7 linked regions of the Callithrix jacchus genome follow. The protein of the gene in region 5 interacts with the protein of the main gene of each other region in a pairwise test. Links are inferred from orthologs where the notes say so. Each region holds a gene or a part of one and is shown on either strand. Other genes may lie near its edges.

What was found.
Region 1: the proteins of C7H1orf94 (region 5) and BANP interact in binary tests that used the Homo sapiens proteins (3 or more experiments, as listed by UniProt). The two-hybrid records come from large-scale screens. The link is inferred for Callithrix jacchus from reciprocal best matches to the Homo sapiens genes C1orf94 and BANP.
Region 2: the proteins of C7H1orf94 (region 5) and GCC1 interact in binary tests that used the Homo sapiens proteins (3 or more experiments, as listed by UniProt). The two-hybrid records come from large-scale screens. The link is inferred for Callithrix jacchus from reciprocal best matches to the Homo sapiens genes C1orf94 and GCC1.
Region 3: the proteins of C7H1orf94 (region 5) and RAD51D interact in binary tests that used the Homo sapiens proteins (3 or more experiments, as listed by UniProt). The two-hybrid records come from large-scale screens. The link is inferred for Callithrix jacchus from reciprocal best matches to the Homo sapiens genes C1orf94 and RAD51D.
Region 4: the proteins of C7H1orf94 (region 5) and CDKN2D interact in binary tests that used the Homo sapiens proteins (3 or more experiments, as listed by UniProt). The two-hybrid records come from large-scale screens. The link is inferred for Callithrix jacchus from reciprocal best matches to the Homo sapiens genes C1orf94 and CDKN2D.
Region 6: the proteins of C7H1orf94 (region 5) and HNRNPF interact in binary tests that used the Homo sapiens proteins (3 or more experiments, as listed by UniProt). The two-hybrid records come from large-scale screens. The link is inferred for Callithrix jacchus from reciprocal best matches to the Homo sapiens genes C1orf94 and HNRNPF.
Region 7: the proteins of C7H1orf94 (region 5) and CCHCR1 interact in binary tests that used the Homo sapiens proteins (3 or more experiments, as listed by UniProt). The link is inferred for Callithrix jacchus from reciprocal best matches to the Homo sapiens genes C1orf94 and CCHCR1.

What each region holds. Positions count from the first base shown.
Region 1 is NC_133521.1:45,581,185-45,585,435, forward strand, and holds the start of BANP (protein BANP), read left to right. Parts: upstream 1-1,451; 5' UTR 1,452-1,535; exon of another isoform or gene 1,536-2,923; intron 2,924-4,251. UniProt on the Homo sapiens protein: Controls V(D)J recombination during T-cell development by repressing T-cell receptor (TCR) beta enhancer function. Binds to scaffold/matrix attachment region beta (S/MARbeta), an ATC-rich DNA sequence located upstream of the TCR beta enhancer.
Region 2 is NC_133512.1:119,386,003-119,390,050, reverse strand, and holds the start of GCC1 (GRIP and coiled-coil domain-containing protein 1), read right to left. Parts: upstream 2,801-4,048; 5' UTR 2,399-2,800; coding exon 1,367-2,398; intron 518-1,366; coding exon 1-517. UniProt on the Homo sapiens protein: Probably involved in maintaining Golgi structure.
Region 3 is NC_133506.1:99,061,352-99,064,851, reverse strand, and holds part of RAD51D (DNA repair protein RAD51 homolog 4), read right to left. Parts: intron 1,630-3,500; exon of another isoform or gene 1,589-1,629; coding exon 1,498-1,588; intron 1,369-1,497; coding exon 1,298-1,368; intron 666-1,297; coding exon 549-665; intron 1-548. UniProt on the Homo sapiens protein: Involved in the homologous recombination repair (HRR) pathway of double-stranded DNA breaks arising during DNA replication or induced by DNA-damaging agents. Bind to single-stranded DNA (ssDNA) and has DNA-dependent ATPase activity.
Region 4 is NC_133523.1:9,744,341-9,748,572, forward strand, and holds the start of CDKN2D (cyclin-dependent kinase 4 inhibitor D), read right to left. Parts: upstream 2,801-4,232; 5' UTR 2,768-2,800; intron 2,490-2,767; 5' UTR 2,475-2,489; coding exon 2,334-2,474; intron 835-2,333; coding exon 475-834; 3' UTR 1-474. UniProt on the Homo sapiens protein: Interacts strongly with CDK4 and CDK6 and inhibits them.
Region 5 is NC_133508.1:70,756,120-70,759,619, forward strand, and holds part of C7H1orf94 (uncharacterized protein C1orf94 homolog), read left to right. Parts: intron 1-201; coding exon 202-462; intron 463-3,500.
Region 6 is NC_133513.1:36,076,449-36,080,340, forward strand, and holds the end of HNRNPF (heterogeneous nuclear ribonucleoprotein F), read right to left. Parts: intron 2,584-3,892; 5' UTR 2,532-2,583; coding exon 1,284-2,531; 3' UTR 501-1,283; downstream 1-500.
Region 7 is NC_133505.1:35,974,947-35,978,446, reverse strand, and holds part of CCHCR1 (coiled-coil alpha-helical rod protein 1), read left to right. Parts: intron 1-394; coding exon 395-698; exon of another isoform or gene 699-732; coding exon of another isoform or gene 733-762; intron 763-3,500. UniProt on the Homo sapiens protein: May be a regulator of keratinocyte proliferation or differentiation.

The sequences.
Region 1 (4,251 bases), on a different chromosome or scaffold from region 5:
GGCTCCTCCTTGGAGTGTTTGTAAGGTTCTTTTGCTGTGAGTAACCCAGCCGCCAGCCTCAGTGGAACCTCTGGGCCTCATTCTGGAGGAGACTTTGACTCGGTAAGGTTGCCCATGGTCGCACGGCCTGTGACTGCGCTCAGTCCTGGTTTTATCAAGGTAAAGCCTTTTCTTCTCCCAGTGAAAACAGCTCCCTTGCCCTGGGTTTGGGAGATCAAAGGCATTCTTGCTCATTGCAAATAATTCGGAAAACAGAGTCGAGTGTAAAGAAGAAATGAAAGGCAATGCAGTCCAGTTAAACAGAGGGAGATAACCAGGAATGACATTTCCAGGAATTGCCCTATACTTTGGGAATTTTTTCCTAGGATTACCACAAATGCACATTTGCACATTTATTCTACATAAAATATAACGTGTGCACATTCGATGCCATCCTTTTTTTTTTTTTTTTTTTTTTTTGAGACGGAGTCTCACTCTGTCGCCCAGGCTGGAGTACAACGGCAAGATTTCGGCTCACTGCAATCTTTGCCTCCTGGGCTCAAGTGATTCTCCTGCGTAAGTCTCCCAAGTAGCTGGAATTACAGGACTGCGCCACCACATCTAGGTAATTTTTGTAATTTTAGTAGAGACGGGTTTTCACCATGTTGGCGAGGCTGGTCTCGAACCGGTGACCTCCAGTGATCAGCCCGCCTTGGCCTCCCAAAGTGCTAGGATTACCGGCGTGACCACGGCGCCTGGCCGCCATCACTTAGGCATGTGTTTCATGTAGGAAATGTCTAAGACCATAATCACTACTGTGTGTGCTACCCCCCCGCGCGCGCGTGAACTCAGGCCCCTCTGGACGGACAATGGGGACCCCTGACCACTTACATCTTTGGAAACACGCCTCCCAGCGCTCCGGAACCTCAGGGCAGGACTCGTCGCAGCAGCAAGTAGGACCCGCTGGGGGCGCACAGCCCACCTGAATCATTGTAACTACAAGTCCCAGCAGCCCCTGGTGCGGGGACTGGACGCCGCGACCGGAGTCCGGAGAGACTACAAGTCCCGGCAGGCAGGGTCCAGACGAAGGCACTACGAGTCCCAGAATGCATCGCTCCTAGCTTGCGCAGGGAACCCTGGGAGATGTAGTCGTTGAGGAAGCTAATGCCTATTCATTCCATCTCAAAGAAGATGCAAATTCTTCAGACAGTCCACTGAGATGAGTTTTCTCAGGCAGGCCAGGCGCGTGGGCGAAAAACGGGGGGAAAAAAGCCCTGGGAAGCCGATACCGTCGCGGGAGAAGCCAGCCTGCGCATGCTCACCGGGAGGCCGAGCGGGAAAAGTGCGCGTAGTGGGCCTCGCCGCCCGCACGCCCCGCCCCGGCCCCGGCCCCACCCCCGGGCCTGCGCGCCCAGTGAGCCTGCGCGGAGGGCGGGGGCCGAGCGTCGCGGGGAGGGGCTCGCGGCGCCTGCGCAGAGCGGCGGCTTCTCTCGCGAGGACGGACGCCATTATCGCATCTCCCCGACAAACACCACGAGAATTCCGCAGCCCACACGGTAATTGCAGCTCCCGCAGCCGGTCGCGCCTCCGCCTCCCCCTTCCCGCGGGGCGAGAGCGAGAGCGAGATCTCCCTCCTCCCTCCTCCTCCTCCTCCTCCCCCTCCCGCCCGCCGGGCCGTCCGCGCCGCAGCCCCGCCGCCGCCAACTGTCTGGGCCGGGCGAGCGCCCCCAGCTCCTCGCTCCCCGTCCCTGGCCGCGCCCCGGAAGAGGGGCTCCCGCTTCCTCGCTTCCGCACCCCCTGCCCCGCCGCGCCCCGGCGTCCGTTGGGCCGCGGCTGCCGTAGCCCGGCCCGGGGGCCTCGAGCTCCCGATCTCTGCTCCGGGGCCGCGGCGGGGAGACTGGAAAGGCCTAGAACCGCGCCCGTGCTCCTCGGGGGACCGAGGTCTCCCTCGGGGGTGGCTCCTGCCAGCCAGCCGTGAGCGACGGGCACCGTTTCTGTGCCTCCTCCATGGCTGTGGACAGGAGCCCCAGTAGCCCAGGACTTGCACGCGGAAGCCTCCGGCGCGCAGCGAAACGGGCGATCTCAGGGCTGCCGCCGAGCTCGGCGAGGACCCCAGCCCGTTCCCGGGGGCCCCCTCCTCAGCGCCTGTGTGCGAGTTCTGTGGTGCAGCCCCTAAAAAGGGGGCCGTTTGTTTTTCCCTGGGGTGCAGAAAGTAGATGACGTTCCATCCCCACTGTGTGAGCGCACTGGAGACAGTGCCTTGCTGGAGGGGACTGTGGTTTTTCCCTGAGGACGTGGCAGGGCTTGTCTTGCTCTTGGGGAGATACATCAGCCCTGAAGAACTGTGAGCAGGTGCACGAGTGTGGGCTCTGAACGGTGGCGAGCTCGCACCCTCCCCGGGGAGGCCCGGGCCGCACAGTTGATGTGGAGCCGGTCATTCTCTGTTTGGAGTTGCCTGTCTGCCCGGGAATGTACTCCAGGGCCTGATGGCGTTGGCGGAACTTGCGCTGCAATAAATAACCGATAAGAGGAGGCAGTCTTAGGGTACACTTGTAGCTGGAAGTTCTTGGGGGACAGAAAAATAGCTCGGAGTAGTGAGTGGTTCTGAGGAAGATCAGAAAACATCAAATTAAAACTAGATCTGGTCATTTCGCCCGCAGCTCGCAAATACCCAGTGCTAGAAGAAAACACCGAAACGAGGTGAAACTGTATGTAGGTGCATTTCCCCTGCCTTGCAATTCAAATAAGAATATATTCATAAGCTGCAGCAAGTACCACTGGGCAGGGAGACCTCCACCCAGGCTGCGCTGGAGGCAGTGGGAAGACGCCCAGGTAGAAGAGCATCGAGGGTCTGGCGGGGCCCATAGCCTACGGAGCTGAGCCTCGGGGCTGACAGCATTCCAGGCTGAAGGCCCCCAGCAGGCTCCGATCCACATGTTAACAGGTGATTATTGTTAATAAACAGGTGTTCTGTATTTACTTACAACTCAAGAAATATTCCAGGTAGGCAGTTGTTACCCGCTTACCACTAACTGAAAGGTCCTCTCCACAAGGGAGCCACGGGGCCAGGGCAAACTTAATGTTTCTCAGCAATGTTGGATTCTGTGCTCACTGGTTTTAATGTTTTTATTTTCTGGAGGCAGGATTTTAACTGTCTGCCAGGCTGGAATGCAGTGTGGTGATCTTGGCTCACTGCAGCCTCAACCTCCCTGGCTCAAGTGATCCTCCCACCACAGCCTCCCAGGTAGCTGGGACCACAGGTGCCACCACACCTGGCTAATTTTTGTATAGTGGGGGGGGTTTCGCCTTGTTTCCCAGGCTGTGGCTTTAATCTTTAAAAAAAAAAGAGCTTCAGGCTGTGGGGGCAGCTCAACATCTTGCATCCTTCACCGTGACCCCCACTCCATAGATGAGGTGATGTGGCTGCAGATGCTGAGGGCATGTGTGCAGATGCACAGAGCCAGGGCTCCAGTTCAGTCTCTCTAAGCTGATGTTCTTAAAAAACACACCCCATCCATTCAGTGTTTTAATCAACATAGTGTATACAGCAGCCATGTCAGTGGAAGACTTACATGAAAAGCAGTGTCCCCTGCCCCACCTCCCAGCCCCATTCTTCAAAGCCTGGTTTCTTGAGGTCCTTCTCCATAGCTCTAAGTAAGCTGGTCTTTTCATTTGTTTTTGAGATAGGATCTCCCTGTGTTCCACAGACTCTACCCAGCCCTGGTGACCCTCAGCCTCCTTAGTAGTTGTTGCAGGCATGAGCTGCCACACCTGTTGCCCAGGGTGGGCTTTAACGTGCCCTTTAAGCTGATACTTTCTTTTTTTTTGAGATGGAGTTTCGCTCTTGTTACCCAGGCTGGAGCGCAATGGCGTGATCTCGGCTCACTGCAACCTCTGCCTCCTGGGTTCCGGCAATTCTGCCTCAGCCTCCTGAGTAGCTGGGATTACAGGCACGAGCCACCGTGCCCAGCTAAGTTTTTGTATTTTTAGAAGAGACGGGATTTCACCGTGTTGACCAGGATGGTCTCGATCTCTTGACCTCGTGATCCACCCATCTCGGCCTCCCAAAGTGCTGGGATTACAGGCTTGAGCCACCGCCCCTGGCCTAAGCTGATACTTTTTTTACTCAGCCTTGACTTTGTGTTATGATGGGTGACGGATCCCTTCTGTCACATGCCGCCTCCTCCATCTCATGTACCCTGTTTTCAGGGTAGGGTCAGGTCCCCTCCTTCTTCAGCCTCTCAGCTTTTTCTGTAACCTGCACACGAGCCA
Region 2 (4,048 bases), on a different chromosome or scaffold from region 5:
GCTCCTTCCCCAGATTACCATCTTTGGTATTCTTACTTTTTAGGACCACCTGGGCCCTCATCTTGTACCTCTCAAACTCTTCCTTCAGTTGTTTCAGCTCCTGTTGGTAATAGAGTGCAGTAGCCTTCTCCCCATCAGCAGTCTCCGAGCTGGTCATTATCTCCAGGTCACAGAGCTTCTCCACATCCAGGGTCACCTGGCTTTTCCTGGCTGCAACCTGCAGCAGTCTCTTCAGCTTCTCCATTTTATCCTTCAGGACATTGACATCCAGACTAGACTCCTCTCCATGGCTGTCTAGAGGGGACCTGCTGGAGGCTGCTAGAGCCAGTGTCTTGTTCTCCAGGTCCAGCTGCAGAATACGCTCCTTCAGCTTCTGGATGGCCAGCTGGTCCTTCTGCTTGGCTTTCTCGTACGTGCCCAGCAGCTCCGACACCTCAGATATTTGATTCTCCAGGGCTGCCACCCTCTGTTCTTCCACCTGAGATTGCTGACGGAGTTGATCCTCTGCAAGAGCTGTCTGCAAAATAAGGGAAGAGAAATAATGCATCCACAAAAGCCCCACAGCAAACTTTGAGAAAGCAGGACAGGGGAGCAAAAGGGTCACAGGATTGGAATGGCCTGACAAGAATGGGAAATAGGGATTTTTCGGTTGATTCAGGAGCTAACAAAAGTTCCTATGACCTGCCTGGGTTCTGCAAGACATATTATACTAAAAAATATTAAGCACCTTGGCATATCTGCCATTCCATTCTGCTTTCCACCTAACTCACATATAATGTGTGTCACTGTTGTTTTTCAGGTGCTTCCTCAAATCTTAAGAAATCATACAAGATTTTTCCTTATCTAATATTCCTAGTAGTTCAAAACTGAGCTGGAGCTCCCTCACCACATTGGAAGGAAGCCCCCTTTCTCCACCAGAAAGGAGGCCTATTCTGGAAAATAGCATTTCTCCAGAATAGGCAAATCTTAAGTAAAGGCAATGACAAGAGGTTACTTCTGAGAAAATCCCCCTTTGCCTTCAGCCACCCTCCCTAGCGGCACATACCAACAGAAAATACACTACCTTTTACTGTACAGCTGCCACTATACTGCTTCATAGAACACAGCTGGTAAGATGCCAATGCCCAGAAGGGCAGGGCTGACTGGCTCCAACCCAGCCTACACTGAGAAGCTCCACATCCTCCTGGAAGCTTCTACGTCAACACCACATAAAACAGCACTTCCCGGGACTCACCAGTGGAACTTTTCAGGTAGCATCAAAAATGACAGTACAAACACTTAGCTCTCACTAGCAAAGGAGGAAAAAAACCCTAGTATTTCCCACTTCAGATCAATGACTATGTTTGAAAGAGAGGTGGATAATTACCTTTTTCATTTCCTGCTGTAACTGGGCCTGGAAATGGCCCTTAAGGCGGGCGGCCTCTTCCTGAAGTTCTTGCAGCCGGGGGTCTGGCTGATTCTTCTCATCTCGAATGGCCTGCAGTTCACTTTTCAGCTCCTCCACCTCACGGGTCAGCTGCTTGGTCTGAAGTTCAAATCCTTCCATCTGTTCAGCTGCATATGATCGTCCTGCCAGGGCTTCTCGGGTCTCTTCTAACCTAAGCTCCAAGTCCTGGCGCTGGGTCCTCTCCTCCTGCAGCAGCTTCTGGAGCTCACGCAGCATCAAGGCATGGTCACTCTGCTCTTGGGCCCGATCATGCTGCTGCGTGATAAGCCGGGCTTTGGTTTCTGCTATTTGCTCCTGCAGCCCCTTCAATTCTCCCTCCAGGCGAGCCCTCTCCTCCTCTGCCTTGTTATTGGCATCCTCTAAGTCCTGTTTCATCTTTTTCTTGTCAGCCAGGTAAGAAGCCTCCATGCGGGACTTCTCCTGAGTGACTGTGGCCAAAGAACTGGTCAAAGTAGCCAACTGAGTCTTCAGCTGGTGCAGTCTTTTGTCCACCTCCCCACCCGCAAATGGCCCATCCCCACTGCTACTGCTAACACCACTCTCTGACCCACTGGCCTCTTCGGACTTCGGAGGTGGTGGTCCACGGGCTGGTCTGTCATCTTCTATCCCAAACTCGCCCTTGGTGCTGGTGAGACTGGCTGCCGTATCCACGCTAGTGGCGGTCCCAGTGCTATCCTCACTGTGAGTGGAGCACCGGTCATCCACAAAGTCCGGAAAGGCGACGCCTGGAAGCTGGACACCTGCGAGGCCCACATCTGCCTCGTGGGATACCGACAGCACCTTGATGCTGGCCTCTAGCGCCTCTTTCTCCTTCAGCAGGCTTTTATAGGCACGGACCACATCCTTGAGCCGTGCCTGGTACTGGAAAAGCTGCTTTTTCTGCGTCTCTATAGTCTCCAGCAAGTCTTTCTTGCTCGGGCCGCCACCGAAATTCATAGCAAACTTCTCCATGAAGGTTCTGAACGGACTGCTCCACTTCAGCTTTCCAGTAGCCCAAGAGAGGGCTGCGAAGAGGCAGGCAAGGGCTTCAAGAAACAGCCAGCGGGCTGTCCGGCGGCGGGCCGCACACCTGCTGCACCCAGTTATCCCGGACCTAATGCGGATAGGCGGAACCTACAGACAAAAGTGCCCGCCTGGTCCCAAGCCCGGAGGGTGGGGCGGGTACTACCCTGGAGGCGGGGCGACGCTGGCACCAGAGGCGCGCTCGGCCAGGGCTCGTCCGCGCTGGCCCAGAAGCCGCTCCACACTCTCCGCTCTGTCCAGGCCACAGGAGCCCGGGCCGGCCCCGCTCGGCCCACGTCGGTCAGGTGCTCACGCAGAGCGGCGTCCCATCACGATTTCCTAACTACAACTGCCTGCCCACTACCGCGCTTCCGTGTCCGCTGGAAGTGACGTCAGCTAGGCGCCGCAAGCCCCGCCCCCAGTGGGCGCGAGTTAGGCGGAGCCCAGTCCGCCAGTGGGTGGGCGCGGCCTGTTGAAAACGCAGTAGGGTAGCGAGCGGCCAACAGGTTTGGGAAAGGAGAAACAAGCAAAGCCGAAAACATCAGAGTGGTCTGGGTTTTGTGAGAGCGCCTAAGCTTGACCTCGGGCTACGATCAGCGAGCGACAGAGGGCAACGTCGCACAGCGTTCTTAACAAACACCTAGGTGAACGACGCATCCAAGGATTTGGGGGCTCAGGTCCCATATCCCTAAAAGGCAACAATTAAAGACTTGCATATAGACCGCGAAAACTGGAGTACTCTAGCACAAGGCTTGGCACCTAGTAGGTATACAGCGTAATAGTCAGTACGCTTCCTTAGTTCTGCTGAGTTGATTCAACAAATATTTATGGAGGGCACTCTATAGCCGTGTCTATCCTGAGTGCCAGCTATGTACAAGGAGCGCACAAGAGTTTTGCTATTTCGTCTTCACGATAATTATTATAAGCACTATTTTCATTAGCACTATTTTACAAATAGGGGAACATGAGGCAAAAAGTTATACGTAACATGCCCAAGACCACAGAGCTAAGAAGTTTAGTTCTATCTGAATCAGTCTGATTCTCAACGTATTATGTGTTGTACCAGACGATAACACCATTAAGAGATACGACCTTGCTTTCAGGGAACTCACAATCTAGTGAGGAACTAGACATGCAAACATGTCCTGCTATAACACCGGTATGTATTGGTATATTCAAAGTGGTAGGAAAGTTAAGAGAGGAAAGAGGCCTGGCTCAATGAAGAATGGAAGGCTCTTGGGAATAATACTTTGGGATTTGAAGTATGAGTCCTGATTGTCCACCTAACCAGAGATCAGGGAAACCAGCATTCCAGGCAGGTGGGAAAAAAATGCAAAGACCTGTAGGGTATCAGAGTTTGACTCACCCAGAATGCATTCAAAAGTTTAGGGTATGTGAAGGAGGGGACAACAGAGGGGCTGGCATGAGAGGCAGGGACCCAACTTATGGCATTTAAATTTTATCTTGGGTGATAGTAAGGCCCTAATGGATTTTAATCTGAAAAGTGGAATGTCATCAAGGTTTGTATGACATGGTGGAGGGAACAAGGGGCAGGAGACCTGTGAAGAGACTCAGTCATGGGGAAGAGAAGGTAGTGAC
Region 3 (3,500 bases), on a different chromosome or scaffold from region 5:
TGACTCACTGCAGCCTCCGCCTCCTGGGCTCAAGCGATCCTCCCACTTCAGCCTCCCAAGTAGCTGGAACTACAGGGGTGTACCACCATGCCTGGCTCATGTTTTGTATTTTTTGTAGAGACAGGGTGTCACCATGTTGTCCAGGCTGGTCTCAAACTCTTGAGCTCAAGCAATCTGCCAGTCTCAGCCTCCCAAAGTGCTGGGATTGCAGGCATGAGCCACCGTGCCTGGCCTGTTTGTTTTTGAGATGAGGTTTTGCTCTGTTGCCCAGGCTGGAGTGCAGTGGCATGATCATAGCTCACTGAAGCCTCGACCTTCCAGGCTCAAGCAATCCTCCTGCCACCAAGGCTACCCGGATTTTGTACTTTTTATAGAGGTGCAATTTTGCCATGTTGCCCAGGCTGGTCTCGAACTCCTGGGCTAACGTGATCCACCAGCCATGGCTTCCCAAAGTGCTGGGATGTACGGGCATAAACCACTACACCTGGCCTATTTTTTTTTTCATGAGGTTAGTTTAGTTAGAAAGTTGGTTAAGGCTGGGCTCACACCTGTAATATCAACATTTTGGGAGGCTGAGGCGGGTGGATTGGTTGAGCCTGGGAGGTTGAGCTGCAGTGAGCAGTGATTGCACCCTCACAATCCAGCCTGGGCAACAGAGTGAAACCCTATCTTAAAAAAAAGGAAAGAAAAAGAAAAAAGAAAAAAAAGTTGGTTAAATGTATAAGTAAATATGCAGAAAAAATATTTTATGGAGATATGTAAAAATATTAATATGGTTTCTGTGGATATAGAGATTGATGGCAAATATGAATCATATATTTTTTTATCCTTTCTATGAGAAAGAAGCAAGCAGACTTTAAAAAAAACTACCTCATAAGCAGAAAAAGTTACTTCAACAGCAAAAACATCCATTCATATGAAGCTCTGGAAAAGGCCAAACTATTGGGATGGAAAACAGATCAGTGGCTGCACGGGCCTGGGGGACCCTTTGGTAAGGTCACAAGACTGGATACAACTATCTCCATTAGTCGAATTTCAAGGAGAAAGTTACTCTATGTAAGTTACACCTCAATAAACCTGACTAAAAAGAAAAAGGTAGGAAAAAACCAATCAACAAACAAAGCCAATTCCTGATTCCTTAAGCTATTTATGGTGCAGAGCTTTAGCTGACCCAGGAAAGCAGGGATCTGTCCCCTTCCTAAAGGGCCACTTTGGTGTTTGGAAGCTGACATTGAAAGGAAATAAAGAGCTAGCAATAACTAAAAATCAAGTTCACTGGCCAAGCCTGCTTCCTCACCACCACTGCCATGCCAAGGTCCCGGGCCAGGGTCTTCAGCTCTCGGGCCAGCTGCATCATCAAGGCCAAGCCTGCAGGAGGAGGAGAAGCAGAGAGGGAGGGCAGCGGGGAACCAGGGATGGGGCTGGCCAGGGGCCAGAATCCAGAGCTGGGAGGCGAGGTCACATTCCACTGACCCCAGGCTCTGCCACATCACTCACCTTCCCTCTGCTGACCTCCCAGAAGTGGGGAGACTACCGCAGTGACTGAGTCCACGACCACCACCTTCATAGTTCCTGAAGAACCAGTCACCTGAGGGAATGTGGGGGAAGCACTCACGAACCTCTTGGCCTCTAGGACACATTACAGGACAAGCCTGCTCTTCTGTCTGAAACTAGTAAGAAATAACTGTCCCCCACCCTCGTGGGGGTCTAGGGGAGGGATAGCAGGGGGTAGGGAATTGGGGAGGGATAACATTAGGAGAAATACCTAATGTAGATGACAGGTTGATGGATGCAGCAAACCACCATGGCACATGTATACCTATGTAACAAACCTGCACATTCTGCACATGTATCCCAGAACTTAAAGTATAATAAATAAATTAAAAAAATAAATAAATAACCCCCCTCATCCCAAATACAGCTAGCTGCATCACAGAACGTCATCAGCAGCAATGTCTCCCTCATCCCATTGGTATGTATAACAGACTTCACTGAAGACTTGAGTCGAAATAAAGGATTTAAATCACAGGACATCAAAACTAAAGTGGCCAGGTGCAGTGGCTCACACCTGTAATCTCAACACTTTGGGAAGCCACGGCAGTGTATCACTTGAGATCAGGAGTTCGACACCAGCCTGGCCAACATGGCGAAACCCTATCTCCACTAAACATACAAAAATTAGCTGGCTGTGGTGGTGCACACATGTAATCCCAGCTACCTGGGAGGCTGAAGCAGGAAAATCGCTTGAACCTGGGAGGTGTAGTTTGCAGTGAACTGAGATTGCACCACTGCACTCCAGCCTGGGCAACAGATCAAGACTCTCAAAAAAAAAAAAAAAAATTTAAAACCATACTAAAGTCATCACATTTCAGAAAGCCCAATGTAGTCCTGAGGCCTTTCTGGTCATGGATCTCTCAGCAGCCATCTTTCTCCTGCATCCAGCCTCCCACCATAGTGGTAGGCCCTTCTCTTCCTTTGCTGACTCCCCACCTTCTTTCTCCTGTCCTGCTAACTACCACCCTTAAATTTCTAACTTCCTTTGCTGAAGAGTTTAGCCTTCTCTTTACTCCACTGTCTCCTTCTAGATCATGACTCCAGGCCTCATCTTCCATATCTAAAATGCCTCCAAATAAATTCCCTAAGTCTTGCTCTGTCACCCAGGCTGGAGTGCAGTGGCATGATCTCAGTTAACTGCAACCTCTCTCTATGGGTTTAAGTGATTCTCATGCCTCAGCCTCCTAAGTAGCTGGGACTACAGGTGCACACTACCACATCCAGCTAATTTTTGTATTTTTAGCAGAGACGGATTTTACCAAGTTGGCTAGGCTGGTCTCACACTCCTGGCCTCAAGTGATCTGCCCACCTTGGCCTCCCAAAGTGCCAGGATTAGAGGCATGAGCTAGCATGCCCAGCCTGGTGCCATCTTTGTAACCATAATTTCCTGTCTTTACACACGCAGGAGCATCCTCCTGGTTTCCCTGGATTTAAATTGTTTTTGTTGCTTCTTTTCTCTTCTCCCTTACTTCTTATATCCTGATTCTGGTTCTCTCTCTCTGTCTCTCTCTTTCTTTTTGTAGACAGGGTCTCACTATGTTGCCCAGGCTAGTCTTGAACTCCTGGGTTCAAGTGATCCTCCTGCCTCGGCCTTCCAAAGAGTTGGGATTATAGGCATGAGCCACGGCTCCCGGCCTCAGATTCTTAACCCATAGAAACTGTGAGATAAGAAATACATGTCTTAAACCACTAAGGTTTTGATAACTTATTATGCAACAATAAAAGATATGCCATCTCATGGTCCTGTAGTACAAAATATAGTCTTCTGATCTGGAATGGAGAGGACTTGGCTGTAGGGTTAGTTCTTGTCCTAAATATGTTGTCAACTTTGGTCAACTCACTTCACTTCTCTGGCCTTCACTCTTCTCATCTCTAAAAGTGAGATCAGTACTACTCAGCTTCATGTCTCAACAAGCTGGTGGGTCATAACCAGCTATGACCTATGA
Region 4 (4,232 bases), on a different chromosome or scaffold from region 5:
AAACGCTGTACAAGAGACTGGAAAACAAGCTTCCAACAGAATATAAACTCATGCTACCTTCTTATTGATTTAGGACGCTCTCCCACCCCCATGCCTGAAGCAACGTCACTTCAGGTCTCTGAGCACAGCTGGCCAAGGTCACCAGGTTCCAGGAGCTCTGGAAATGACGACCTCACTCTTAAATGCTCGGCCCTTGCCTTGTCTGAGGCACAGAAGAAACTGAACCGTTTAGGTGGCTGTGGACTGCGGAGCCCTTCTCTGTCCAACACACCAAAAGGGGTGAGAAAAACAAATGAGAAACGTCCCCCAAACACACACACACACACCCCCAAAACCAACACCTATAAGCCACAAACTGGTGCTCCTCCCCTGCTGCGGCAGTGGGCAGGAGAAACAAGAAGAGAAAGTGTTTCTTCCCCTCTCTCCTGATATATAACCCCATGGGGTCCTCTTGCTAGAGAGAGTGACCCCAGATCACAGCGGGGCCACCATGTGCCCCTGCAGGATGTCCACGAGGTCCTGAGCCCCTCTCTGCAGTGCCAGCTCCAGGGGTGTGAGCCCCCTGGCATCCCTGCGATGGAGATCAGATTCAGCCGCCAGAAAGTTGACTACAGCAGTGTGACCTTCTTGCACCGCCAGATGAATGGGAAGTGCCCCGGTGCCATCAGGCGCGTTGACATCAGCCCCATGCTCCACTAGGACCTTCAGGGTATCCAGGAATCCAGTGCGGGCTGCGTCATGGATTGGACTGGTACCAGAGGTGTCCTGGACATTGGGGCTGGCACCTTGCTTCAGCAGCTCCAGGGCGATGGTGGTGCTGCCAAACATCATGACCTGTGTGAGGGACAGAGGATCAGGAGGTCTTCGAGGGAAGGGGTTCCAAAAAAGGGGTCACTGGAGAGAGAAGGGTCATCCAGAAAGAGGCATCTCCTAGGAACAGGATATGCCAGAGGAGGGGTCCTCTAGTGAACGGGGAAGCTGCATAAGCCCCCTGGGAACTGTTTGAGAACGCAGAGAAAAAGTTCTCCTGGGAATAGAGAACCCTTTCCTCCCCGCCCCCCCACCCCCCCACCGCCTGTCCTCACCCCAACCCGCCAGAAGCTGGTCACTCCCTTAAGAATAATATCAGTCCCCCAACCCAGAGAACAGCCCCCATGGAAATTTTCAAGGAACCTGACTCTCCTCCAAGGGACCAAAGACACCCCAGATATGGGCAATCACCAGGAAATATAAAATCCCCTCCAGGAAATGGGCCCCAAGAGACTGAGAACTACCCCAAAGAACTTGACAGTCCTCAAAAGGAAAAAGAGATGCCAAAGAAAAGTGAACCCCACCGCCATTCTCCAGGAAATAGCCTCCTCCTATATAATGATGATGTCACTTCAGGGTACCTGAGAGCTCCTTTCAAAAAACAGGATTCTGACCAGTGCAGGGCTCACGCCTGTAATCTTAGCACTTTGGGAGGCTGAAGAGGGTGGATCAGCTGAGGTCAAGAGTTCAAGATCAGCCTGGCCAACTTGGCGAAACCCCGCCTCTACTAAAAATACAAAAATTAGCCAGGCGTGGTGGCAGGGGCCTGTAATCCCAGCTACTCGGGAGCCTGAGGGTGGAGAATCGCTTGAACCAGGGAGGTGGAGGTTGCAGGGAGCCAAGATCGTGCCACTGCACTCCAGCTTCCATAAAAAAAAAAATTAAAAAAAAAAAAAAAAAGAGAGAGAGAGAGAAAAGAAAGGAAAGGAGGATTCCAAAAGCAGTAAGAGAAAGGAGACTCCTCTGTAACACGTCTCCCAAGGGAATATAGGGACTCTTACAATCTGACACTGTTTCTCCTCCGGGGCCCCCACACTATACCAAAGATCCGCATAAACTTTGGGAATTAAGATCCCACCCCCAAGTAACCAAATATGTCTCAGAGAGCCCCCTACAAAATGAGGAACCCCTGGAGACCGGACCTCTCCTTCCAGAGATCGGATCTTCCCATAGAAGCCCCCAAAAATGTGAGCCGTCCCCAGGGAAAAGGCATCCAAAGAAGCTGAACCCACGGAATAGAAAACCTCCCCAGAGAAAAAGAATCCCCTGCACTCAGAGAACCAGGAATCCTCCCAGAGAAGAATCTGGAAAGCTATCCCCTCCCCCTCCAACCTAGCCTCACCCACCACCCACCTTCGAAAGGGGACCATGGGGGAACAATAAAAGCCTAGAGAAGAAGGACCGGTCCCCAGTAGGTTGCACCACCAGGGCCAAGAGACCAGAGGAGAGGGGCTCTGGGGTCTCAACACTCACCTCGCTGAGCCGCCCCGCCCCGCCCCTGACTTGAGCCAGCCCGGCCTCACCTGCAGCGCCGTCTTGCCAAAGCGGTTGAGGGCGTCGGGATGCACCAGCTCGCGATGCAGAAGGCGGCGCACCTCCTGCACGTCGCCCCGGGCCGCGGCCCCACTCAGCCGGTCGCCGGCGCAGACCTCCTCCAGCAGCATGTCGACAATGACGGCCTGCGAAGTCCCCCACCCCGCCCCAGCCAGGCGCCGTCAGCACCGAGGAGCCGGCGGGCGCTGGCCCGAACAGCCCTCCCGGGGCGCGGCCGCGGTGCGCCTCGCTGCGCTGCACTCCCGGCCCGGCTCCCCAGCCCGAGACCCCGGCCCTCCCAGCGGGCTCCTCCCCCTGTCAGCCGGCCCCCGGTGGGGGGCCGGGAGTCCGGCCCAACCCTCGGCCGCCCGCGGGGCCCTGCCCGGCGCCCGCCCCTTGGGGGCCGGGTCTCCCCCCAACTCACCCTCCCTCCTCCTAGCCGGGCGGGGTCTGCTCTGAGCCTGCGCCGCCGCAGCAGCCAGGGCAGCCGCCAGGGGGCGGAGCCAACGTGCTCCCGGCCCCGCCCCGAACTCCGGGGATTTGTTTTCTTACAAATTCGCTACTGTGTAACGATGCCGCTTTGCCTGTGGCGCAACCTTACGGTGCTCCGCCCACAGGACCTGCGTAACCAATGGATTGGCGTCGCCGGGGTAATTTCGGGCTCGGGGTGAAAGACGTCGCTCCTGTTTGGTCAGAGCGCGGCAACCGGTGGCCTGCCAGCAATGGCGGGGTTTTCGGTTTTCAAATGTACTCGGCGGGCGGGAAAGACGGTCGGTTTAACTGACCCAGGGGGAAAGGTCAAGGACAGGGTAGAGCGGGAAAGACGGTCGGTTTAACTGACCCAGGGAGAAAGGTCAAGGACAGGGTGGAGCGGGCTGCTCCGGGACCTCGGCGCCTCCTGGGGGAAGGGAGGCAGGGCTGGGGCCACCCAATCTGGGGTTCCACTACTAATAGACATTGATTGGCCCTTACTACACGCTGGGCGCTTTATTTCATTAACTCATCTTTTCCTGTGTGCAGGGAGCGTTCTGGGTGCTGCACGCGCACATTCAAGCAACTAAATAATATTAGCGTAAAGCACAGTGAAGAAAGGGAGATGGGGAGACGGGGTAGAAGAGGAAGGGATCACCCTGCCTGGCTCACACTGAGCCAGGAGGAAAGGAGCCTGCAGTTGCCACGTGAGAAGGCCTGGGAGGACAGAGTCGCAGACAGACAGGGACTCAGAGGTCTTCGCTCAAAGATTTATTTGGCACCACCTAGAGGTGCCAGAGCGGAGAGCATGCCAGGCAGCCCCTGCTGTAGGGACACCTATGGTTTGGGGCCGGAGACAATAGTTAATTTTTATTTATTTTTGAGACACGGTCTCACTCCCATCACCCAGGCTGGAGTGCAGTGGCGAGATCACAGCTCACTGCAGCCTCAACTTCCCGGGCTCAAGTGATCCAACCGCCTCAGCCTCCGGAGTAGCTGTGACTAAGGACGCACCACCACGCCCAGCTAATTTGTATTTTTAGTTCAGATTGGGTTTCACCATGTTGCCCAGGCTGGTGTTTTTGGTTGGTTTGTTTTTTGTTTTTAAATACAGATTTTTTTTTTTTTGAGACCTAGTTTCGTTGTTGTTACCCAGACTGGAGTGCAATGGCACAGTCTCGGCTCACCGCAACCTCCGCCTCCTGGGTTCAAGCAATTCTCCTGCCTCAGCCTCCCGAGTAGCTGGGACTACAGGCGCGCACCACCATGCCCAGCTAATTTTTTTTTTTTTTTTTGAGACGGAGTTTCGCTCGTTACCCAGGCTGGAGTGCAATGGCGCGATCTCGGCTCACCGCAACCTCCGCCCCCTGGGTTCAGGCAATTCTTCTGCCTCAGCCTCCTGAGTAGCTGGGATTACA
Region 5 (3,500 bases):
TGGGGGATCGGAATAGGCAGGAGCCATGGAAGATTTCAGGGAGAGATTGGGATTGTATTTGGCTGAAAGAGAGTCCCCCAGAGTGGCCCAAGCCTCAGGTGTGTATTACAGAGGATTCATCATTTAATCCACAAAATGGTGCTTCCAGCATTCAGTGCTTAGCCTTCTAGAGGCATTAACTCAGTTTCTCTCTTCCTATAGAATGGAGCCCTGGCACCAAGAAGCCAACAAAGGGTCGAGAGAGCCTATTTCTCAGCCAGTGGCCCCAGAGCCAGAAGGACACCTGTGGTGAGGAGGGTTGCTGTGACCCAGTGGGCACTGCATCACTTCCCCTACCACCCAAGAAACCTGCATGTCCAGTCAAGAAGAACATACTCTATGAGTTATTTGGGGCCACCAAGAACCCCAGCGGGCAGCTGAAACTTCGAAACAAAGTGGAAGTGGATGGACTGGAGCTGAAAGGTGAGCTGACCTACCCAGGGACGGGCTGCAGGGAAGGGGCTTGCATTGACCCTCACAGGCTTCAGGTGGCTCTGTTTGTCTCATCTATAGAAAATTCACTGCCTTTCTATAGTTGTCAATTTTAAAAACTACAAAATGGGAAAAATGACTTTCTCCCTATATCCCTTCTTGGGAATACAGTGCCAGAGAAATGTAGTTGGCTTTCAAGGGTTATATCAGCATTATTATTATTTATTTTTATTTTTGTAGGAAGAGAGGAAGGCAGGAAGGGAGGAAAGGAGGAAGGGAGGGACGGGGGAAGGAAGGGAGGGAGTGGGGGAGAGAAGGGAAGGAAGGAAATCAGGCAATGAGAGAGACATTGACGACCAGGATCTAGAGGTCTACAGTTGATTTCTTTCTTTCTTTTTCTTTTTTTTTTTTTTGAGAGAAGGAAAGAATAAAAAAGGAGTGAAGGAGAGGAAGAAAGAGGAAGAAAAAGAGGGAGAGAGAACGGAAATGTTGCTTTATTCTAAAAAAAATGGGTATTAATAATGGCCAATCAATATTTCATTTAAACCTATGAGTAGGTGTGATGTGGTATTGACAAGAATGTATATTTTGTGTATTTAAAGTGGAGAGCTCTATAAATATTTATTAAGTTTACTTGTTCCGGATCTGAGTTCGAGTCCTTGATATCCTTATTAATTTTCTATCTCATTGAGTCTAAGTCTCTACGTATCTGGGCATTAGGATCATTAGCTCTTATTGTTGCATTGATCCTTTTACCATTATATCTTTGTTGCTTTAAAATCCATTTTATCAGATACGAGAATTGCATCTCCTGCTTTTTATTTATTTATTTATTTATTTTTGCTCTCCATTTGGTTGGTAAATCTTTCTTCTTCCCTTTTTTGAGTCTTTGTGTATCCTTGCATGTGAAATGGGTCTGTATGTAGCATACCGTTGGGTTTTGGCTGTATCTTTTGATTGGGGGATTTAGTTGATTTAAATTTAGGGTTACTGCCATTTGATGTTAACTGGCTGTTTTATCCATTCATTGATGTAAATTCTTCATTATGTTGATGCTCTTTACTTTTTGGCATTTTTTAGAAAGGCTAATACTGGTTGTTTCTTTCTATGTGTAATGCTTCTTTCAGAAGCTCTTGTAAAGCAAGCGTGGTGGTAATAATATCTCTGAGTACTTGCTTGTTCATAAAAGATTTTATTTTTCCTTCAGTTATGAAGCTTAGTTTGGCTGGATATGAAATTCTGGGCTGAAAGTTCTGTTCTTTAAGGATGTTGAATATTGGCCCCCACTCTCTTCTGGCTTGTAGGGTTTCTGCTGAGAGATCTGCTGTAAGTCTGATAGGCTTCCCTTTGTGGGTAACCTGACCTTTCTCTCTGGCTGCCCTTAGTATTTTCTCCTTCGTTTCAACCCTGGTGAATCTAACGATTATGTGCCTTGGGGTTGCTCTTCTTGAGGAATATCTTTGTGGTGTTCTCTGTATTACCTGGGATTGAATTTTGTCCTGGTTTGCTAGTTTAGGAAAATTTTCCTGAATAATATCCTGAAGAGTATTTTCCAGCTTGGATTCATTCTCTCCATCACATTCAGGTACACCTATCAAACGTAAATTTGGTCTTTTCACATAGTCCCACATTTCTTGGAGACTTTGCTCATTCCTTTTTATCCTTTTCTCTCTAATCTTGTCTTCTCATTTTATTACATTAAGTTGGACTTCGACCTCTGATATCCTTTCTTCTGCTTGAACAATTCGAGTGTTTAAACCTGTGCATACTTCTTGGAGTTCCCGTATTGTATTCTTCAGTTCCATTAATTCACTCATATTCCTCTCTAAGCTGTCTATTCTCATTAGGATTTCGTCAAAACTTTTTTCAAACTTCTTAGTTTCTTTACATTGGGCTACAACATGTTCTTTTAACTCACAGAAGTTTCTTATTATCCATCTTCTGAAGCCTGATTCTGTTAATGGGATGCGCTCGTTCTCCATCAAGCCTTGCTCCCTTGTTGATGAGGAACTGTAATCCTCTTTAGAGGGAGAGGCATTCTGATTTTCAGTATTCTCAGCCTTTTTACGCTGGTTTCTTCCCATTGTTGTAAATTTATCCACCTGTTGTCTTTGTAATTACCAACTTTCAAATTAGGTCTCTGAGTGGACGTCCAAGTTGTTAATTCCCAGGGCCGAAATATGAGCAACCCACTGCGCCGGCCAAAACAGTGGTGTTAAGACTGATGGTGCTTTTCTGCCTGGGAATCTCCAATCTGGTTTCCTTCTTGAATCCATAATAGGCGACTCTGCCTTCTCGGAGCTCCAAACCTCAATCAGAAGGAGAACCAGTCCCGTTTACTCTGCACCAAGAGCTGCCGTGCCAAGGTGCCGGCAAAACTGTTGCGCCGGCCACAAGAGTCGCGCTGATGACCCATGCACCTCCTCCAAACCTTGGTCAGAAGGGGAACCAGTCCCGTTTACTCTGCACCAAGAGCTGCTGCGCTGAGGTGCCAGCAAAACTGCTGCGCCGGCCACAAGAGTCGTGCTGGCAACCCATGCAGCTCCTCCACTGGGAATCTTCTGCTCCATGAGCCATCAAAATTTGTCTGAAAGTGTGGTGTCCTCTCGTTCTCTGTGCTTTCACTGGGAGCTACAATCCCGAGATGTTAGCGATCAGCCATCTTGGTTCGTTCCCCCCGTATCAGCATTATTAATAGTCACTTCTGAATATAGCCCTGATCCAGCATGTATTATATCCTCTGAAATTGTCCAAGCCAAAACAAAAAATCCTTGTTTTAGATTATTTCTACATTGAGATTATGTTCCTGCTTTCTCTTGCTTGCCCTCCTACAACTGTTCTAGTCAAACCTCTTTTTCCAAAAGGAAGCCAATAAGGGGGAAACAGAGGACCCATTTCTGATTTTTTAAGCCCCCACGACATCTTGTAGAAAGGAAGAATCCAGGATTCTTATCTTGAAACAACTCAATCTAACTTCATTCGTTTAGACCAATTTTGAGTCACTGCATGCTGAATTTAATGTTTTAAAA
Region 6 (3,892 bases), on a different chromosome or scaffold from region 5:
CCTCTAATTCCAGCTACTTGGGAGGCCGAGGCAGGAGAATCACTTGAACCCAGGAGGCAGAGGTTGTGGTGAGCCAAGATTGTGCCATCACACTCCAGCCTGGGCAACAAGAATGAAACTCCATGTGAAAAAAAAAAAAAGGTAATACTGTGTGCTATACATAGAACTGCCTGAATTTAAGCACAGCTTTCTTTTGCTAAGGTGGCTAGCAGTTTGAAAACGGGTCTCAAGCTTGATGTATCCTGCCATAACCTAATTCACAAATACATCCTCACAAAAATCATGAGCCTGATCCAAGAAAAAAGTAAATCACTAGATTTTATAAAAACTAAACTGGCTTAAGCTCTCTAGCTATCACCTGTGACTCCAGCATCAAAGGGCCTAGTAGGAAATTCCAAATGGTTTAGAACCATGCACATTAGAGGTGGCTGGGGCCGCATGTGTCCATTTGATGCTTCCCGGAATGTGTGTTTCTAGTCACCATTTCCACCATTCACATATTTAACATTTTTATTAGACTTTTATTTAGCCTCATAAGAATATAAGGGAGATCATAGATTTGATGTATGAAATTATTTTTAAATTCACACTAAAATACATTACGATTAAAATGAATTATCTTCAACCACCCATTTTGCTATCTTTTGCTGAGCAGATAATGTGTGCCAGTCATTGTGAAAAAGTCTTTATTTTAAGAAAAAAATTTAGTTAACAAAAAATTTAACAAGTTTCACTTAGCAAAATACACCCAAAAGGAAATCACAGTACAAAGAAAGTTTTAAGTCAAGGCCTCACCAATTCCTACAGTATTAGTATTGTGTCTCAATTCTCAAAACTAACTTTTTAAAAGCTTAAACTTAACCTAAAGGATTTTAAATGAAAATATAAACTAGAATGAACAAACATGAGAAATATTTCTTTGAATCAGGGAGCTAGCACCTTTGAGTTTTCCAAAAAAGCACGTCTCCCCAGTGTGTTCAGTGATGTGGTGTAAAAGGCCCACATTTAACATACTGAAACTACTTAAACTCAGATAACATCACTCTGAAGTATACTACCAAAATGTTAATCGAGAAAAGCTGAAAATAGTTTTAGTTTACTTATCACATGCTAGAAGAAAATTTTGCATGAGAAACACTGAAGAGGTAATTTTTTTAATCCAGATTTCACAAACTCATGGTGCAAAATGGGTCCCACAGCTTCCTCTATTATAACTGCTCTTAACTGCTTGTTGGCTGCCTGTGTAAAATTTGATTGAAATAACTCAAATGTTCCTAACAAAACTAGTCATATCCACCCATGCTGTTCTGCCCACTGTAGCCGGCCCCATAACAGCCGCTCACTGACTGGCTCTCCAGGCCACTATAAGTGGCCTGGGCAGCAGACACCCCCATGCCTTGCATCACCTGGCTGCTATATGCCCCATTGCTGGCCCCTGTTGTCGAATTCAAGAAGAGTTCTATGTATCTGTGTTGCATGTTAGCCCTGTCTTTGGACATGGCTGCAACAGCTTCTTCATGAGTAGCAAACTCAACATCTGCTTCGCCCGTCACTCTTCCATCTGGGCCGATCTCAATATGGACTCTCACAGGATTGAGAGGAGAAAAGAAGTTGTAAATGTCGTTCTCTGTCGCTTTGTATGGCAGACCCCTCATGTGGACACAGTGGCCTGTGGTGCTCTGCACTGTGAACTCACTGTCGCCGTATCTGTGGTCATACATTCCAGAGAGACAGTAGCTGAGGTCTCTCCCGAACAGATCGGTGGTGAAGCCATAACCATCGCTGAGGCCACTGTACTCCTCATAGCCCCCATAGCCTGCGCTGTAGGCACCAGGCCGCATCCTCTCCAGGCCTGCCTGCTTCACAATGCCAATATACCTCCTGGCGGTTCCGGGGCGGTCATAGGGCCCCGGCCGCTGCACGGACATGAACTTCAGAGGGGGATCTGAGTATGACCTAACTTCCTCCTGGCTGCTCTTAAACACCTCGATGTACCTGTGCCCTATCCTCTCCTTGTGCTTCCCTAGAGCTTTCTCAGCTAACTCCTGGGAGGCAAACTGCACAAATGCTTCCCCTGTAATCTTGCCCTCGGGGTCCACAGGCAATGTGATCCCGTTTGGCACGATTTCCAACCCTGAGAAGAACTGAACAATTTCTTCCTTTGTGCATCCAAATGGGAGTCCTCGAAGCCGCACGAAGCCATCATTGGCGCTGTCGGCACTGTTGGGACCACTGTGCTTCAACACCCAATCCATCTCGGTTCTGTGGGACTTGAACACCTCTATGTACCGGTGGCCCATGCTTTCCCTGTCTTTTTTCAAAGCCAGTTTTACATCATCTTCTGATCCAAGTTCAACAAAAGCCTCACCACTCTGCCTGCCCTCTCTAGTGTAGATGAAATGGACACCTGCGGCCCCATCGTGAATCGTGCAGTCAGAGAGGAAGTTCTGCACGTCCTCAACAGAGCAGGACCAGGGAAGGCCACGGAGCTTGACCACAAAGCCCTCACCTCCCTCAGGGCCCAGCATCATGGACACTTGACAGGATGGGTGTCAGGTGGTCTTGGGTGTGGCTTTTTTGTGGCTGAAAAACAAAAACAAAAATGACAAATTTATTTAATATGTGTTAAAAAATATATGCAATAGTAATTTTCCCTCTTTTACAGATGAGGGAGGTAGTAAGACATTAATAAATATACCAAATACATTTGAGAGCTAAGATTAAACTTCAGATCTCTCAAAAAATTTACATGATTTTTCACAGGCAGTTTGAAAAATCAGGTGTCTACCAGGCAGGACGATGCATGTGAATTTGGTGCCTTGAACACAGAGGAATGTAAGTTTTAGTCAGGTTAGAGCAAGCACATTTTCTTGTTATATTTATTCCACTATTTGTCATGATGAAATGTGGCAGTTCACTTATAGATAGCAATGGCTTCTAGTGTCCACGGAGTTATCATTTTGCTCCTAATTTTTTTTTTTTTGAGATGGAGTTTCGCTCTTGTTACCCAGGCTGGAGTGCAATGGCGCCATCTTGGCTCACCGCAACCTCCGCCTCCTGGGTTCAGGCAATTCTCCTGCCTCAGCCTCCTGAGTAGCTGGGACTACAGGCACTCACCACCATGCCCAGCTAATTTTTTTTGTATTTTTAGTAGAGACGGGGTTTCACCATGTTGACCAGGATGGTCTCGATCTCTTGACTTTGTGATCCACCCGCCTCGGCCTCCCAAAGTGCTGGGATTACAGGCTTGACCCACTGCGCCCGGCCCTCCTAAATTGCTAATTCAAAGTAAATACCAGTCAAGTGTGAGGCCAAACTGACGACATATACAGACAAGCAGACTAATTCACCAGCAGAATTAGTTATGTGCACTGCAAGTAAATGGAGAAACCAGATCAAATGATTGATTCACAGGTTCACATAAAATACAGCAGAATTGCTGCCTTTTGCTGAACAACTGGTAGAGGGCATTGGGAAGAAAGAGATGATATCACAGGAGAGCTGAAAAATGCCCTTCCCACCAGGGTGGTACATGGAACCTGAAGTCCAAACTCAAAGAGTAAGGCCAACCACACTCTGGAAGGAAGTCTTTTGAGAAAGAGGAGCAGTTGACCCAGACTACAACATATGTAACCTATCTACAAGCAAGAAAAATACTGCAGTATGGGGTATCAAAGATAATGCCCAAAACAAGCACAGAGTACATGGAAATCTTTTTTCTTTTCTTTTTTCGAAACAAAGTCTCGCTCTGTCTCCCGGGCTCACGTGCAGTGGGTGCCATCTCATGTCATTGCAACCTCTGCCTCCCAGGTTCCAGTGGTTCTCCTGCCTTAGCCCCCTAAGTAGCTGGGATTACAAGCCTGTGCCACCATGCCCTGGCTAATATTTTTTT
Region 7 (3,500 bases), on a different chromosome or scaffold from region 5:
TTCGTCCAACTTTTCCACTTAAAATATGTGGCCTAAAAAATAAAACAATAAATAAGACAAACACCAAAAAACAAAAAGAATGTGGTGGCCTAATGGTACACACATTTGATGTTGAATCTGCCTGTATGTGGCGCTCTCTAGAGAGATCATGTTTCATGATCTCAGCCAGACCTTAGGTCCTGTGAGTCCAGGCACTGGACTTAACATGCTCAATAGGGCTTTGATGAATGATGATGGTGTAAGTGCAGACATCCCCATGCCCCAGCTTCAGCACCCCCTTCACCTCCCAACATGAGTGCAGAGGGGTCTTTTGCTTCTCCTGACTATGTTTATGCTCTCAACTATCCTTCCATCTCTGGAGACAAGTTTCATCTGCACTAACCTGTCTTTGAAGGTGCCGGGAGTTGGACGGGTCACAGGCCCTGAGCCAGCAGGCTGAGCTGATCTCTCGTCAGCTGCAAGAGCTGCGGCGGCTAGAGGAGGAGGTCCAGCTCCTGCGAGAGACCTCACTGCAGCAGAAGATGAGGCTAGAGGCCCAGGCCATGGAGCTGGAGGCTCTGGCACGGGCGGAGAAGGCTGGCCGAGCCGAGGCTGAGGGCCTACGTGCAGCTTTGGCTGGGGCTGAGGTTATCCGGAAGAACTTGGAAGAGGGGAGCCAGCGGGAGCTGGAAGAGGCTCAGAGACTGCACCAAGAGCAGGTGAATCCAGAGGTGGAAAGGATTCAAATTCATAATGGAGAGCTGGGCAGTAGCTTCCAAGCAGGTATTGCAGAAAAGACCCCCCGCCATGAGTAGTAAGCAGTGGAATGATGAGACCTTTTGGTGAAAGGAAACACACATGGCCTAGAGAGATGGAGAACTTGGGTGCTTTGATCTTAATTCAGATTCTACTTTTCCCCCAAGACTCAGGTGGCCTCCCACCACTTGAAGCCCTCCTTTCCTTTCTAGTAGGAAGTAATTTGCCTCCCTACTTTACTGCAGGTACCAATTCATTGGGGGTATTGTGGAGGGCAGTGTGGAAGGTGGGTAAGGAGGCTGTGGTGGACTGGGATAGAGATTATTCAGTCCACAGTGCTTACTCTTTGCCATCTATGAGACTTAGTGACCAAATTAGCCTGAGTCCTGCTTTCATGGATGGAGCTGACAGCCTTGTGGGGGATACACTCGTCTATATTTAATTTAATCATAAGTAATTGCAATTGGGGGAGTGCCTTGAAGAAGGACTAGAGAGCGCTAACTTGGTCTGGGGTTCAGGGAAGGCCACTAACCTGTCGGCATGTCAAGAAAAGTAACCATAGGGCTGGGCATGGGTGGCTCACGCCTGTAATTCCAGCATTTTGGGAGGCTGAAGTGCGTGGATCACAAGGTCTGGAGTTTGAGACCAGCCTGGCCAACATGGCAAAACCCTGTCTCTACTAAAAATACAAAAATTGGGCCGGGCGCGGTGGCTCACACCTGTAATCCCAGTACTTTGGGAGGCCAAGGTGGGTGGATCACGAGGTCAAGAGATCGAGACCATCCTGGTCAACATGGTGAAACCCCGTCTCTACTAAAAATGCAAAAAATTAGTTGGGCACGATGGTGCATGCCTGTAATCCCAGCTACTCAGGAGGCTGAGGCAGGAGAATTGCCTGAACCCAGGAGGTGGAGGTTGCAGTGAGCCGAGATCGCGCCATTGCACTCCAGCCTGGGTAACAAGAGTGAAACACGGTCTCAAAAAATAAAAATACAAAAATCAGCTGGATATGGTGGTGCGTGCCTGTAATCCCAGCTGCTCGGGAGGCTGAGGCAGGAGAATCACTTAAACCTGGGAGGTAGAGTTTGTAGTCAGCCAAGATCATTCCACTGCACTCCAGCCAGGGCAACAGAGCTAGACTCCATCTCAAAAAAATAAAAAAATAAAGAAACCATAAAGGAACTGGGAGAAAACAAGGGAGAATTAAATTCCTTATAACCTTGTAGTGTACAAGGCCTTTCTACCTATGAGTCAAAATCCAAAATCTTGAAGCCATAAAGGAAAAGATTGACTCATCGACTTTATAACATGAACATTACGAATAGCAAAAAAAAAAAAAAAAAGCTATATTTATAGCTCAGATTACAAGAAAAGGGTACTATCCCTAATATATAATGTGTGTATAGAATTTGGTAACGGAAAGACCAGCAGTCCAATCAGAAAATGGACAAAGGAGATTCATGAAAGAAACTTAGCAATAAGAAGTTAGGCCAGGCACGGTGGCTCATGCCTCTAATCCCAGCACTTTGGGAGGCCAAGGCGGGTAAACCACTTAAGGCCAGGAACTCGAGACCAGTCTGACCAACATGACGATACCCAGTCTCTACAAAAAATACAAAAATTAGCCAGGTATGGTGGCAGGTGCCTGTAATCCCCCATCTTCTTGGGAGGCTGAGGCAGGAGAATTGCGTAAACCCAGGAGGCAGATGTTAGGATGAGGTGAGATCACTACTCTCCAGACTGGGCAGCAGAGCAAGACTGAAAAAACAACAAGCTACCATTTGTGCTGAATAAGGAGTTGGCCAGTGAAGAGGTGTGTGGGGTGCAATGGTAGCTGGTGGACACTCAGCAGGACAGCAGATGGAGATGGGGACAGGAGGAGGCTAGAAGGCTGGAGCACAGAGATAAAGGGCCCTGAGTGTGTTGCAGAGCACAGGACCCAGGGTGCAAGGCCTTGGTCAGTTCAGAACTTGATACTTTCCCTTAAGAGTAATGAGCAGGCGGCCGGGCATGGTGGCTCAGGCCTATAATCCCAGCACTTTGGGAGGCCGAGGCGGGTGGATCACGAGGTGAGAGATCGAGACCATCCTGGTCAACAAGGTGAAACTCTGTCTCTACTAAAAATACAAAAATTAGCTGGGCATGGTGGTATGCGCCTGTAGTCCCAGCTACTCGGGAGGCTGAGGCAGGAGAATTGCTTGAACCCAGAAGGCAGAGGTTGCGGTGAGCCGAGATCGTGCCATTGCACTCCAGTCTGGGTAACAAGAGCAAAACTCTGTCTCAAAAAAAAAAAAGAAGAGTAATGAGCAGGCTGGGCACAGTGGCTCATATCTATAATCCTAACACTTAGGGAGGACAAGGCCAAAGGATCACTTGAGCCCAGTAGTTTGAGACTAGCCTGGGCAACGAAGTGAGATCCCCGTGTCTATTTTATAAAATAAGTTAGGGCCTGGCACGGTGGCTCACACCTGTAATCCCAGCACTTTGGGAAGCCAAAATGGGTAGATCACTTGAAGTCAGGAGTTTGAGACTAGCCTGGCCAACATGGTGAAACCTCATCTCTACTAAAAATATAAAAATTAGCCAGATGTGGTGGCTCATGCCTATAATCCCAGCTACTTGGGAGGCTGAGGCAGGAGAATCGCTTGAACCTGGGAGGCAGCGTTTGCAGTGAGCTGAGATCCAGCCTGGGCAATGAAGTAAAACTCTATCTCCAGAAACAAAAAAAAAGAAATTAAAAAAATTTTTTTTCCTTTTTTTTTTTT